2 linked regions of the Arabidopsis thaliana genome follow. The main gene of each other region encodes a partner of the protein of the gene in region 2 in a complex. Each region holds a gene or a part of one and is shown on either strand. Other genes may lie near its edges.

Region 1 (3,449 bases), 9.6 Mb from region 2:
CATATATTTTTAAATCATCTTTACAATAAAAGTTTTTAGTTTAACTAAAATATAAGCCTACCTGCGGTATACTACAGGTTAATATCTAGATTATAGGGCTTATTGGATCTAAAGACGGGTCATCAAAGATTTCCTAAACTGAAGCAAAATATACTGAATACTCAAATATCTATCTGTTACCAAATTATAAACAAATAAGTTCGTAAAACAATTTAATATTTTATATACAAAATCAATTAAATCTTAATCACATAAAAATTAGCACAAAAAAAAGTATTCAACAATTAAAAAATTATCAAATCTCTGTGTTATATAAGTTTTGATACTATATTCGAATAAAGTGTAATATTCCTTTTCGATTTGTATTCTTTAACTAATTTAAGCTGACTAATATATTTGTTAATCTTATACCTATCAAAACCGACTATCGTTTTTTATCTCTATAGTATTTTTGCAACATTTGTTTGGTGGATTTGGGTAAAAGTGCATTCGGGTCATATGGTACATTCCCCTATTAAATAAATATGGTGTACTCCTATGTTATCAGCTAAAATATTTAAATTATAATTCAGAGTCATATCATTAGTAAAATTAATATTAATAAAATAAATGGCTTTTTGGCAAGACGGATTTGGAGTGACGGGTTTTTGAATCAACATTAATAAAAAAGTAAAATATAATTAATCCACTGTTTCAATACGGGTTAAATCTTTAATTTATTATTTTTTAAGATCACTAATATTAAACATATCAAATCATCCTAATTTAGAAAAGATTATATAAAACCAAAAATGTTATGTGGTATGTATAATATTACTATATATATAATTAAATTATAAAATATAAATGTATTAGAGAATATACAATTTACAAAACTTTTATATATAAAAAAGAATTCTTAAATTTTAAAAATTACTACTTTAAAAAAAAAATCACAGGACGGGTAAATAAATTATAGAACAGGTTTTATTTTGGAATTGGGTTATATGGTGGATGTATTTGAATCAATATTTATAAAATTTTAAATTATTATTATGCTGTTGTTTTAATAGGGGTTACAACTTCAGTTTTTTAACAATTATCTCATGGATTCGTGGTATAGCGTTATTTAATAACAATTATAAACTGTAAAATATAAATATATTTTAAAATTAAAAATTGCAAATTTTAATATATATTACTTTTAAAATCGTCCCGCGGTATACCGTGCGGTATACCGCGGGTTAAAATCTAGTTTATAGATAAAGCCAATACATTTCCTTGCTAAATTCAACATACTAACAACTAGATTAGTAGAGCTACAATTGCAAATATACCATTCCTTTTACAATATAATTATTTTAAAATAGGTTTTACTAGAACGATTCATCTTAATTAATATAAAATAGAAAAGAAAGTTTATTTTTAAATTTTTGCCTTTTTAACATTTGTAATCTTATCACACTAATATTGTGATGAATATATTAGAAAGTTATTTTGATTTTAGGAAATTGACAGTCTAAATTTTATAGATACATGAACTCATTTACGGACTAAATTCAACATACTAGCAATAACAGCTACAATCACAAATATAGTATATTCTTTTTGATAGATTTATCTGAAAATATATTTTTCACTAAAACAATTAATCTTAACTAATAAAATGGAAAAAGAAAGTTCATTTATGAATTTTTGTCTTTTTAACAATAAGAGTCTCATCACATTAATATTGCTAGTGATGAAATATGTTGAAAAATAGGTTTACTTTTGGTAGTAAACCAATAAAAGAATAATCTGAATTTGTAGCATTGATTTCTTATAATATTGTGAATTTTAAATACCTGAAAGGTGAATTTAAATGATCAGTAATTACAATATTAGTCTCGCAAGAAAACAAGAAATTTCCTTTTCCAAAACCGAAATAACTAATAAAATCAAATCCAAGACTTTTGCGGCGGTGACAGACTCTATAAAGAAGTTTCAGTCCCAAGACTCCCTCACATTATTTTCTCTCGCTCTCGAACAAAATGGTCGTGAAATCTGGAATTGAAATAGGAACAAGGAGATGAGTTTAATAGAAGATTGTCTAAGAAGCTACCGTTTCATTGCAATAGACACAGAGTTTCCATCTACTTTGAGGGAAACTACACAACATGCGACAGATGAGGAACGTTACATGGATATGAGTTTTAGTGTGGACAGAGCAAAATTGATCCAGTTAGGGCTAACTCTGTTCGATATCAATGGAAGAATTGGAGGAACATGGGAGATCAATTTCTCTGATTTCGGAGTTGACGATGCTAGAAACGAGAAATCCATTGAGTTCCTTAGACGCAACGGTCTAGATCTAAGGAAGATTAGAGAAGAGGGCATCAGAATCGAGGGTTTCTTCTCGGAGATGTTTTGGATGCTGAAGAAGACGAGGAGGAATATTACTTGGGTCACGTTTCATGGATCTTACGACATCGCCTATTTACTCAAGGGTTTCACCGGAGAAGCTTTACCTGTGACTTCAGAGAGGTTTTCTAAAGCGGTCGCGAGAGTTCTCGGTTCTGTTTACGATTTGAAAGTCATGGCGGGTCGATGTGAAGGACTAAGTAGCAGGCTTGGTTTGGAGACTCTAGCGCATGAGTTCGGACTTAACCGTGTTGGTACTGCACACCACGCCGGTTCCAATAACGAGTTAACGGCGATGGTTTTCGCTAAGGTACTGTCTCCGTTTCCTCTCTTTCTTCGTTTTGGTTCTTTGGAGTTAAGAACTATAGAAAGTGAAGCAATAGTGTAGTGTGTGTGTGTGCTTTGTGCCTTTGTCTAATCCTAAGACTGATCAATGATATATGTCCGTTCAATTATTTTTCTAGTAATGAGATGTTTTCAAGACTCAAGATACATTGAAGATGGAGAAGTAGCAGCATACACCAAGAATAATTTGACATGGCCCAATTGAACAAGATCATTCCCATCCTTTACCATGTCTTGTGATCCTAGCTTGTGTTTCTGCTGTGTATTGATTTGTGATCTTAATTCAACACTAGAACTTTTTCTTCATTACATGTTGACTTGACTAAAATGTTGATACTAATATACTACACAATCATTTAGATGCATGAATGATCAAGTTCTATTCTGATTGATATTGTCTTCATAGAACTTAGTGATTAACTAAATTTTATTTATACACTATTATTCAAATAACCATTTGTATCGTATTCTCATTTACATGGCTTTGATAGAATTTAGTAATGCTCAGTTTATATAAATTGCCAAATATGATACCAAATATTTGTGCCTCGTCATAGATCATGAATTAAACTACTGTATATGATTATCTAGTTATTATTTTTATTATTTTAATTAAGTCCGAACTGTATTTAAAATGTTTAATAAAAATAATTTATTAACTTCAAATATTTCATAAATATCTCATACAATGAGCTCACAGGCAGAAAAAAAGAAATAAAATATTC
Region 2 (3,937 bases):
TACACGTAATAAGATAAACTCAAACAATGAATAAACAAATACACAAACCAAAGTGGAAGAGTTTATTTGAAAAGATACGTACCTTGGGAGTGCTATTGAAATCTCCGCATAGAACAATGGGAATGTCACCCCATTTCTTAGAGAGCAAGTGAGCCTTTGAGCAGAGTGAACGGACCTATCAGTCAAGAACAAGGCAAATCAGGAACTCAAGAAAAAACATAAGCCACGAATTCAATACGTTTTCATGAGCATTAGGACATATACTAATGAACATGTCATGACATATACTAGTAACTTAGACTTGTCTTAGATATTTAAACTAATGCTAGTAAACATCTCTTGACTGAGATTCAGTACAATTTCCTGAAGTCTTAAAGCCAAAGGTGAAAGGGCCAGATCAACATTTTGTAAACTTTCATGACAGTCAATTGCTCGTGTAGCGGATATACAAATTGAAATGTCGAGGCTTACCTGACCCAGCTTCACATCTCCTTGATTTGGATTATAAAGCACGTGAATGTTACCCAGCAGTATCTTTCTTGACTTATTAGACTTCCGGAGCTGACGGGAAACCCAAAAAAAAACTGGATCAGTCAAAGCATATACATGAAAAAAGAAGTTCGTAAAACATTCAAAAAAAATTTCTACCTCAAGAACAGCAAGCTGTGCAACATTATCCCGCATACCAAACTGGCTAAACTCAATGTTTTCCCTCTCCAAAACTCCAAACCTTTTGAAAACAAGATAAATCTTAAACAATGCTGAGTTGTAGTAGTCGTTTTTCTTCACACTAATACAGATTGAGTCAAACAATATGTGCTACCTGTCAGCCTTCCAAAACATTGCGCAACCATCGACGTTATCTCCAGTTCGCCGCTGCCATTGCAAAGCTTATATTTGTAGTCCTTCTATATAAACACAACTTTTGTTGAGGCTTCAGACGAAAAGGTAAATAAAACCAACCGACAAACCATGTCTTACATTTTACCCCATTAATCTTATAAGCATAAAATTTTTCATTGAACAAGGAAATACATCAACCTTATAGGAGCCAGCATATCCAGCTTTCTCCATCATACTGAATAGATCAAAATATTTATCTACTTCCTACAAAGGTCCACAAACAAAATCAACTTAACTATCTTAACACGATATAAAACAAGGTAAAGTTCATTACCTGCATAGAGATTATGTCTGGATTGAGACGAATGAGTTCTTCGCATATCAACCTTTTGCGGTAGCCCCACTTGAGGTAAGGAACAGACACATTGGAGTACAACTCTCTGTGATATGATGAATTTCCATCTCCCAATATGTTGTACGACACTACAGTGAATCTCTCTAAAGCTAATATTACATAGAGACACACTAGTAAGATCCAAAGGCATCCACAATTTCACAAGCTTCATGGACAAACAGTAACTCAAGCTATTACTAATATCTCTAATTTACTAAATCCTAACTAGTTCACAAATTCATAAGTAAGAGCAGAGTTTTTCCATAAGATCATTATTAAACTACCTTGAGAAACTGGAGTTGTATCTGAATCGATCCAATCACGAGCAATCTGAGAAGACGGTATTTGATCGGGATGTTGACGCCGGGGAAGAGGATTCTGCCATCTACGGCTGTAAGAGCGATTTGAAGATGATTCGGGATTTGAATCGGACGGTCCAGATGTGGAGGAGGAGCAACACACGAAAGAGGAACGGAAAGATAGAGACGATAAAGGACATTGATGGAATCCAGATGAAAGGTGACCACCGGAGGGTAAGATACGGTAAGCTTCGCTTGGCCGTGACCAAGAACAATCAACGCGATTCACACAACGCATTCGATTTTGTGGATGTTAGAGACGAAATTCAGAAATTTGGATGAAATCGAAAACCACACAAACCTCTTGGCGCCATACGGATAAATATCTTTTTTTTTTTCTTCCTTTGGTCAGAGAAAAAAAAATACCAAACCATGGGCCATGGGCCAATACTAGTATACTACACCAGGCCTTGTTTAGCTGAGATCCTGTTTTTTGTTATTCGGATTTTTTGTTTTAATGTCTATTGTTTTTTTTTGTGAGTTTGATTTCAATTTATGTCATTTTGTTTCTAATTTTAGTAGGATGTCAGTTTTTATTTTAGTCTAGTTTTATCATGTTAAGAACTTGGAGATGATATTTGATTTTGAGTTATGAGATTTTGTTTTTTCTTTCATCGTCCTTGTAATTTTTTTTTGTTTTTTCATATACTATGATATTATTTCTACTTTTATTGGAGTATCAATTATTTGATTTCAAATTTAGTGATAGTAGCTCAAAAAAAAAAAACCTTACACAAAAAAGTATATGTCTTTTTGTGTAAGGCGATTACTGATTACACACACAAAAAAAAAAATGTCTTCGTTTCTACCTTTTTTTTTGTTGCAATATTGCCTTTGACAAAGAAAAACTCTATGATTGCGTCTACATTATAATGTTCTTTAAACTTTACTATAAAATATCACTAACTAATCTTGAAATACAAATTAGTGAAGGCATATTGTTAAATATAAAAGTGTATGCGATTTAAAACATTACTGATTGAATTGCATAATCTCATTTTATGGAAAAAAAGTAAAGTAGGTATAAGAAAATGGATATAACAAGATTAAAAACAAAAGAGAAATAAATGACACGCAACAACCAAAGCCAAAAGGGTGCGTTACCATTAATTCAGGGAAAGCGAAATAAACCCAAATCTCTCTTCTAACGAAGTAACAACTCACCCACTTCTCACATTGATTCACTCCTTTCCAGTTTTTACATATAGCCTTCGTTCATCAATCACCTTAAGCAAATTGCAATCACAAAAAAAAAAAAGTACAGTACTTAGCAAAATTTTAAGTTTTTGTTATTTCCACGGCAACTTAGCAAATATGCACCACATATTGACATTAGCTAATATACAACACATGTTTTTTTAGAAATGTACAAGCATTAACAAATATCCAACACAAAATGACATGATCGTAGATGATTAAGATAATTCGATCCCTATAACTAATAGTTTCCAAAACTTCTGCTGACTTTTCTCTCGACAGCGATGGTAAGAAGAAGGTACAAAGTTTTGAAGCCCGAATATAACAAAAGGACAGAAAGCTTTTAGTTTTCTAGATAAGATCTTAGCTTTGGTCACGTAAAAAAAATTAAAAGTGAATTGGTTAACAATATAGGAGTACTTTGTATCCAAAGGTCATTGCAATAAATAAACACTTAAGTACTCTGTAGTCACACATCTCTAGGAGCTTAATATTGGATAATCGCTTGTAGACTTGTATTAAAATATTTAGTAGGTCAAATCCCTATCTTCTACAGTTTCTACTCTCGTCCGTACAGACTACAGACACTATGCTATAGTTTTGTGTTGAATTCTACAAAGTACAAATTCTTCTTTCGGTGCCAATAACAAATAAACACAATTCTCAAATTACATTTGTCTAAATTTTTATTTGATTCGGTATAAATGTAACGCTATGTTGGGAATCATATGATAAATCCAGATTAAGACTTCTTATTTAATTTATTTTTGTATATATAAAATATAATATCCAACCATAAAGTTTTTTTACCGATCGATGATAATGTGAATCCAAATATTTTAACAGGATGATAAATAATTGATGTGGCTTTTATAACCGCAGCAATTCTGGCGTGACTCTCTCCGCAGCATTTATTTTTCTCTCTATAAATTAAAAACATTACTTACTCTTTCTCTCTTCCACTTAACTCATATCAACCTTCGCCGGAAATAATGGCTTTCCCGCGATTTCTTTCTCTCCTCGCCGTCGTCACTCTCTCTCTTTTCCTCACCACCACTGATGCTTCCTCTCGCTCTCTATCCACTCCACCTAAAACGAACGTACTCGACGTCGTTTCATCTCTCCAGCAAACACAAACTATCCT

What was found.
Region 1: AT3G18500 (region 2) and AT3G44240 share a complex: the UniProt entries of both Arabidopsis thaliana proteins name them as parts of the CCR4-NOT complex.

What each region holds. Positions count from the first base shown.
Region 1 is NC_003074.8:15,938,137-15,941,585, forward strand, and holds AT3G44240 (Polynucleotidyl transferase, ribonuclease H-like superfamily protein), read left to right. Parts: upstream 1-2,047; coding exon 2,048-2,767; downstream 2,768-3,449. UniProt on the Arabidopsis thaliana protein: Ubiquitous transcription factor required for a diverse set of processes. It is a component of the CCR4 complex involved in the control of gene expression.
Region 2 is NC_003074.8:6,350,441-6,354,377, reverse strand, and holds the start of AT3G18500 (DNAse I-like superfamily protein), read right to left. Parts: upstream 1,907-3,937; 5' UTR 1,835-1,906; coding exon 1,522-1,834; intron 1,348-1,521; coding exon 1,178-1,347; intron 1,108-1,177; coding exon 1,042-1,107; intron 877-1,041; coding exon 824-876; intron 731-823; coding exon 649-730; intron 562-648; coding exon 472-561; intron 176-471; coding exon 83-175; intron 1-82. Other genes in the region: ASPG1 (Eukaryotic aspartyl protease family protein), read left to right, coding at 3,786-3,937. UniProt on the Arabidopsis thaliana protein: Acts as a catalytic component of the CCR4-NOT core complex, which in the nucleus seems to be a general transcription factor, and in the cytoplasm the major mRNA deadenylase involved in mRNA turnover.